Linked DNA regions of Caenorhabditis elegans. The protein of the gene in region 2 interacts with the protein of the main gene of each other region in a pairwise test. Each region holds a gene or a part of one and is shown on either strand. Other genes may lie near its edges.

The links.
Region 1: the proteins of fbxc-53 (region 2) and F15B10.3 interact in a two-hybrid assay, tested with the Caenorhabditis elegans proteins (one large-scale study listed by BioGRID).

Annotation. Positions count from the first base shown.
Region 1 is NC_003282.8:6,600,608-6,604,606, reverse strand, and holds F15B10.3 (BTB domain-containing protein), read right to left. Parts: upstream 1,932-3,999; 5' UTR 1,928-1,931; coding exon 1,871-1,927; intron 1,353-1,870; exon of another isoform or gene 1,328-1,352; coding exon 1,205-1,327; intron 1,145-1,204; coding exon 749-1,144; 3' UTR 632-748; downstream 1-631. Other genes in the region: nstp-2 (UDP-xylose and UDP-N-acetylglucosamine transporter), read left to right, coding at 328-434; sup-36 (SUPpressor), read right to left, coding at 2,332-2,727, 2,788-2,901.
Region 2 is NC_003280.10:3,709,572-3,713,746, reverse strand, and holds fbxc-53 (F-box C protein), read right to left. Parts: upstream 2,457-4,175; 5' UTR 2,442-2,456; coding exon 2,344-2,441; intron 2,133-2,343; coding exon 1,274-2,132; intron 1,143-1,273; coding exon 1,006-1,142; intron 960-1,005; coding exon 794-959; 3' UTR 700-793; downstream 1-699. Other genes in the region: srh-100 (Serpentine Receptor, class H), read left to right, coding at 1-223, 361-450, 498-559; srx-110 (7TM GPCR serpentine receptor class x (Srx) domain-containing protein), read right to left, coding at 2,795-2,918, 2,965-3,167, 3,264-3,436, 3,492-3,647, 3,795-3,868, 3,912-4,066, 4,127-4,175.

The DNA.
Region 1 (3,999 bases), on a different chromosome or scaffold from region 2:
CCTAAAGCATATTTTTAGAGTTTCGCTCAATTTTTCATAATTTATAATGCAAAAATTAGAACATTTTTCCTGATGGAGATCAATCAAAATATTGAAGAAAAAAAACAGAAAAGTCGTAGAAAATTAGAACACTTGCGGGTACGGTAGCTGGGAAGTTTTGGTCGTTCAGAGACCGGGTACCATATCTTTGTACCAAAATCAAATGTTTTAAAAAACGTTATGTGATTCTTTTGGTCGTAAACTAGGGCTCCATAATCTAATCTGAAAGGAAAAAAAAAGAAATACTAAAAAATCGTCTTTAGAAATCAAAATTCCTCTCTTTTTCAGCTCAACATTGGCTTGGAGCCATTCTTGTCTTTGCTGGAACTCTTGCATTTGCTGATATTTGGGGAAGTCAAACTGCCAACAAGCAAGATGAGAAGAAGAAACAGTAGATAATCACGTTCAATGTACCATGTTTCTCGACGCTTTCCAAATCCCAAAGTTTCACTGATCTGTCATTTTTCCCCGATTGCCGCTAGCTTTTATAGTGCTCATTTCTATTGCATCCTGATTCAAGTATTGTGATATTTTTTCCAAGTTTTTATAAACTATTTCAGAAACTTTAAAATTCAAACAGTGGAAGTAAATATATAGTCAACAAGTTTTATTGCAGTGAAACGAGAATTGAAAGTATTGAGGTTGTATTTAACAAAAAATCATGAAAATTAGCAGAACGAGATCGGAGCAAACTGGGGGAGAATCGGATCTATTGGACATTCTGGAATGCATCTGCTGGTGGATGAACCCATCCATCGGCTTCATCGAAAAAGTGTCCCGGTGCATTACATTCCACACCCATGTACGCAGCGATCTCCTCAACTGATTTGTCTTCCAACTTCTTTCCGATCACAAATCCCAAACATTCCATGAAATCAGTACACTCGAAGAAGTTGGCTAGCTCAATGATTTCTTTGAGCTCATCCAAAGTCTTCTGTCCAGCTTCTTTGTAGTTCTCGACGACTGTCAATTCGTGGATTGTATCATCATTTGGTGGAACATATTTTTGAATATATTCGAAGAGGAAGACACCTGCCTTCTTATTGAACGGAATTGAAAGTGGAGAAGTAACCTTGACGTTATCTTGATTCTCAAAGTCGGGGAACTGCAAAGAATTCGAGATTTAGTTTCGAAAATACTAATTTTGAATTCAGGGCTAACGTACCTCAGACTGAACCGACCGAAGAATCACTGGAACTAGCATAATGATCCCCGTATCACGTAGGGTGACTGGCTCCTCAGAGTCATTGAAGATGAGATTGATCTCGCAGGATGGCATTATTATTGGCTGAAAAAACGAATTTTTGAAAATGAAAGATTTATGAGAATGGAAAACTCCGCGCGGAGAAAGAAACAATTGGTTAAACTAAATATTACAAAAGTCTTATGAATGAATAGAAAGAAAAGATATACCAGCTGCTACGACGCTTTAAACTGTGCTCATTGTCACAATCAATGTGGAACAGTGGGAAGAAAGTCGAAAGATGTGACCTAGAATACATTGGCAAGACGTTAGAGGTAAACATCACTGCCAAGATTGCTATTGTAGGAAGAAAGGGCAATCTATGACCCTTTGTAAATTGGAAGTAGATATATATTGAACAATGTCAGATACACAATAATATCGATCACTTGGCAGTGTTCCAAATTTGCACATGTAGTATTAAAAGCAGAACATCTGGGCTGAATATTCCCATTTAAACGTTTTCAGATTAAAACAAAATTCAACTAGGAGAGCTATCATACATTTGTAAAAGCGTGAGCACTAGCCGAAATCGTCGCGATAATAACTCAGAAAAAAATCATGTGCCTTTAAAACTGAATGTCTCACTTTTTCACGGAAGTATGATGACATTGAAACTTTCAATTTGAAAGGAATAGTAAACATCGTGAGCTACGGTAATTCATCAAAATCCGGAATAACTGGAATAGGGCGAGTACCTCTGAAAATCGTGGCAACCTTGTTTCCGTGGATTTGACGTCGATTTTTTTTATTCAATTCACGGTTGAACTAATCGAGTTGATACTGTAATTTTGCATGAATCGTCCTCAATTACTTTCCTCTCTGTTGATTTTTTTGGCAATTCTGATTTCGAGTTCTTTTTAAGATTTGTGAGCACATTTCGAGAAAATCATTTTATTCATTCCTTAAAATCAATTTGAAAAAGTTCTGATAAGTATTTAATATATTACAAGGAGGTAAAAAGTGAAAGTATTGAGCTTGAATATATTTAACACAAAATCATGGAAATTGGCAGTGGGAGATCAGAGCAAATTACGAGGGGATCGGATCTATTGGACATTCTGGAAAGCGTCTGCTGGTGGATGAATCCATCCGTCTTCCTCTGCGAAGAAGTTTCCTGGTGGATTGCATTCGACTCCCATGAAAGCGGCGATCTCTTCGATGGTCTTGTCCTCCAACTTCTTTGCAATCGCAAATCCGATGCACTCCATGTAAGTGGTACACTCCCAGAAGTTGGCGAGTTCAATGATTTCTTTGAGCTCATCCAAGGTCTTCGGTCCAGCTTCTGGGTAACTTTGTTCAACAGTGATCTCATGGACATTGTCATCGGTTGGTGCAGCGTAGCGAGCGATGGTATCGAAGAGGAATACTCCAGCATCCTTCTTGAATGGAACCCTGAATGGAGCTTCAATCACCGCATTCTCCTCGGTCGCGAAATCCGGATACTGAAAAAAACGTTTATTTTTAAATCTATATTTCTCAAAAAAAAAAATCTGATATCTTACCTGGAGCTCAACAGCGCGACGGATGACTGGAAGAAGCAGGATAATGCGAGTTTCACGAACAGTGACTGACTCGTCAGAGTCGTTGAAGTCGAATTTGATCTCGCAAGATGGCATTGTTAACGGAAGATGTAGTGCAAGTTCTGAAATGATTTCGGTTAGGAAATTGTTTTTTATTGCAAGAGAATGAGGAAGAGTATTTACAAAATCAATGTTATAATTCTAGTAAATGGTAGAATGAATGTCAGAGGAATTCCAAAGATAAGCAAGAGAAAAGAAGAATATGATGAATGACTGAATAAATGCAAAAGAATGAAACTCTATGAGTATTGCGCGACGCGCTCTTTTACAAGTATAGAGAAGAAGACGGAGGGTGTGAGAGATACAACATATGACGAGGAAACATTGATTTCGAAATAGAAGGAGGTGTGCTACGCAGGATGAGTGGAGTTTATTGTTTTCCGATCGATACTGCAACCAATACATTTGGAACTTGGAACAGTGGAATTTGAACTTTCCCGATATTTCGAGTGTAGTGTAACAAGTGGATTGGAAAAACAGTGGCTGAGAAAACGGTTATTATTGTGCGATAAAAATGTTATTGCGAATGGAGCAATGAACACTTTGGAAGATAGACAACGGTAGATTTTTAATATTCTGGAAGGAGTAGTAAAAAGTTCTTTTAATTATTCGGATAAGTCTCGAGAGGGAATTCACATTCATGTAAAAATGTTTTTTCTTGAATTGGGAAACTAGAGTACTTTCAATAGATGAAGTTATTCGTAGAAATAAGAGAAAATAGTCATATTTGAAAGATCCCAAAGATCGAAATGAAAAAAAAACTTATTTTTCAGTGGAATAGAAAAAATGCGGGAATACAACCAAATAATTCAATAAAACAAGAGTTTTGTCTCATTGAGCATCAATCCATTCAAAATGCATTCATAAATTTATTAATACAATTAAAAAACTGAAAAATAATGAGAAAATTCGAAGAACACATAAACTTGTGGAAAATCAACAAATTATTTGATTGTCCGAGAGTACACGATGGTCGCTCATTTGCGCGCGGAATTCAAATTAAATAGACGCAGAGATTTTGGCGCTTCAGGGGTTCATAGCGCTTTAAAGCGTTGAGATTTTTGAAAAAAGCATGGTCATTTTAAATATGTAAAACTTTTGTTTATGTAAATACATGTAAAAGTTTTACATTTG
Region 2 (4,175 bases):
GTTGGTCATGGCGTTTTTCATGTTACATGGACAATATGGTATTTGTATGTTGCACCTTCAAATCAAGTTTCGATAGAGACTCAGAAGAAGCAAAAAACGTTCCTCAAAAATGTTATATTGCAATTTTCGATTCCATCAGTATTCATTTTATTCTCAGTTGCAATTATTTTTACATCTAGTTTTTATTCGCAAGAAATGATGAATCTAGGTGTGGACGTTGCAGGTAAGATTGATGAAAAGCAGCCGACATATCCCGGCTGTCACAATACTTTAGATTGATACGACACTTACCCGGGAAGTGTCGGACGCATCACATAACCTGTAAGTTGTCGGCTGCTTAGATTCATAATTATTCTTCAGGACTTCATGGCATCGGTGAAAGTATTGCAGTTATTTTCGTTCATTCACCTTACCGGAAAGCCGCTGGGCAGCTAATTTTCAGATGGAACGGTGAGTTGGAAGTTAACTCTTGCAAGTGATATAGTATACATTTTAAGATCCACAATCTAGCACACGAGTTTCTGCTGTACGGGGGAATTCCAGTGCGTTCACTATTTGAGTTTTTGATTTTTGGATAAAAAATAATTAACTATGGAGATTCAGTTTTGTCAATTGGTTATAATAAATTGTAAATAAAGTACAGTGAAAAATTGTGTTTTACTAAAAAAACATGCATTTATTTTGCGCCCGACACCTAACAGGTATTTGGAAACTTTATTACTTGAACAATTTAAAAGTAAATTTTCAAATAAATTCTGTTGTTTAGGAAGTTGCATATAATTGAATTAAAAATTTAACGAGGAATCGTGTCCCCCCTCTTCATAACTTCCATGCACAGACTCCATTTGCAGGGCTGAGGACGGGTGAGTCCTTCTTCACTAATTTTCCCTCCGCCATAGATTGCCAGCTCCAAATCCCCATCAATTAGCATGCTCAATCCGTTGGAAAAATCTGTATTTCTGAAAAATAATAGATTTTTTTTCTGAAAACACTTCAAAAACATACTCAAGCTTCTTAATTATTGCTGGATGAGCTCCGTGGCTTTCCTTCAAAAAGTCTAAAATGTCCAAAACCTCTTTGTAGTCTTCTCGAATGCCTACTTGGACTAAGGACCCTATAGGGCGGGAAGATGTGGCCCAGCTCTGAAAAATTTAAAAAAAATTAAAACGACCGACATCTACCGGGTTCCACAAAAAAACCCGGTAAGCCTATGCCTAAGCCTAAGCTTAAGTTTAAGCTTAAACCTTAGCGAGTTTCCAACGTGGAAACTTACCTGAACCAGCTGGGGAAAGCTTTCAATTATCACAATATCAGGAAAGATTTCCAATTTCTGATTTTGTAGAGCTGAGAGCAGAGTAGTTTTCAGCATACGGCTCAGGAAGGTGCCTGCCTCCACAATCCGAAGTACTGGACAATTCTGCACCAGAGGCAACATCAATAGATCAACATTCGTATTAGTGACGTTCAAGGTTAGCTTCTTAAGCGAGCTGTGATCCAAGAACGGAGCAAGTTCCAAAATATCGATAGATGCTGTTGAACTGCAGTCAATTTCTCTTACTTTTAGTGTAAGCAAATCTTTTCTCATCAAAAAGTCAGGAAATGATTGAACTTTTAGTAGTTTGATTCTCGATCCGTTACTGAAAAAAGCATCGAAAATTTTTTCATAAGCAATGTCAACTGGAATTTCCTTGGTTACTGTAATTGCCGTTCCATCTTCCTCGGAAATTGTGATTTCACAATTTCCAGTTCTACCGTGTTCCGAAGAATCTTGAAGCCGGTTTTCCCTTCGAAACCGAAGCCGTCTCTTCTCAAGACTATCCAGGTCCCCAAAAGAAAGTCGATCGGGACCCTGATTGCCCATAGGTCTCCATAAATGATGCAAGTCATTCATGTCAAACAGGGATGGGGGACCAAGGTCCATCACCAAAAGGCGATTATATTCTGCATATTCATATTCTGGTCGCCGGCGAGCCACACCTTCAGGCTTCGGGGCTTTTTCAGCAAGCTTTTTGAAAAGATATGATCTGTTCTGGATCATGATTTCAAATTTATCAAGGATAACCTCTTCGTGGGCATATGGTAGCAGAGCATTGACAGACCTGAGCTCGGGAATATGAATGTGAATTTGTTCTCTGAAAAAATATTTTATAATTGTTTTTTGTTACTGTAATATACTCAAAATTGTCCCTTTATTTTAGCCAAATTTTATCGCTTTTTTTTTGGATATTTTGAACTTCCAAATTTGAATAAATTTGAGGAATATTTAAGAAATCTCATTTTGAAATTCGGGTTTTTTAAAGTTTTTCTTCAGTCTATTTTCAAGCTTAATCACTATTCACTAACCTTTTCTTCACACTCAAAAACTTGAGAACGGATTTCAGCGAGGTGTAAGAGGTGTAATTCAACTTTTTTGGCCGAGAAGAAGAATAAGAAGCGTCCATCTTTCGGAGAATCAGGGAAGCAAAATGGGCAACTGAGCACCTTGGGGAGAGAGGGATTACGAGAAGATTAGTTCCCCCTTTTCCACTCCAATAGAGCATGATAATTATAGACGTATGTAATGTGCATGGGGATTAGGGATCAGATTTCGATTGTGCTACGACAAGCTTTTTGAAAATGTAATCTGGGTAATGGATATTTTCTTTGAATTTTGCGTTCAAAGTATTTTGCAAAAAAAACTTTAAAAACATAAAATAAAAAAACGCCAATTAACTTTCACATTTTTAGATTTTTTAAACAAGTTGTACATACAAAGTTGGGGTAAAACATGATGTTATTTATTTATTTATTTGAATTAGGAAGACACTGGAGGTAGTGAATTTTCACTATTAATCAAGCCAACTTTCACAGTTTTCCGGGTACTCGGCGTTGACTTTGGTTTCAAATTTATGCGATAGTTGAAGAGATACATTATCAATCTGAAATATAGAACACATTTCCAAAACTTTGACATCAAAAGCTTACCCATCAACTACATATACCATCACATCAAACCCCATACTGACGAGCACCGCACAGACATTCATCTCACAGTATTCTAGGGATAAATGGTTAACCGCCACGTCGACCATGCAAATCCAATCTTGGAAGCATGATTGGAGAAAGAATCTGATGTTAGACCTCCGCCGACTTTTAGCGGACTCAGAGGAGAGGGATTTGGAAGATTTCTGGAACAAGAACATTCTCTCACAAACCCCAACAGAAGCACTACAGTACCCTACCGTAGTCCAATCTACAGTAGTCCTACAGGCTTAAAAACTCACCGAAAGACAGAATAACTTGATAGCTATCAGGATATTCATGAAATTTGTAGAAACTGCCAATACTAATAAATAATATATCAGGAAGCTTATCAAAGCCTCAACGCATTGATAGTCATTTTCTGAATAGTCGGGAAACGGTACATGGTCGAAGCTGAACGGGAAACGGCAGATGTCTGAGATTCTTTTTTTTTTGGTTAATTGAGTTTTTTCACTTCGTAGAAAGTTAACCTGGCATTCCAATTAGAGTAGAAAACCAAACTGTGAAAAGCCATGATATTGCCATTGCGGCTACTGTAATCCGGGTACTGTACCTTGGAGTGTTAACCGGGGAACACCATACCACAAGAAAGCGGTTAATGGTTATCATTAGTTGGGTTGTGGGGCCTGAAGTTGATTATTGCAACGCTCAAGTTTGCGCGCCAACGAGGTGTGGGTGCCGACCAATCAGAGAAGTGCCGTAGGCGTGGCCATCGTTGCTGATTGGTCGGTTTGATTTTATGCTGCGCGCGTATTCAAAAAGTCTTAACCAACCTTGCAAATAAAGTCCGAAACCCATTGCCTGATTCAGATAGCCGCTCAACGTGTCAGATCCAATCGCGGCGTAACTAAAAAAATTTGAGCTTGAACCGAATCTCTATAATTACCTACAAAGCATTAATAGGCCCAATATAACCAAAATAGATAAGTAGGACCAAAGTATTAGAGATGGATTTCGACGAGCATAGAATGTAAAAAACAGTTTTTTCAAGCGATAAAAAGTGATAAAACATGAACAAGTTTATCAAGACACCCATGGAAGCTGCCTAAAAGTTTTAAATTTTGGTTTTGTGAGTCCTGAATTGTAAATACAGAAAACCACTTACAAAAATCATGTATCCTCCAACAATTCGTGTTGAAATTTCATCGGAATCC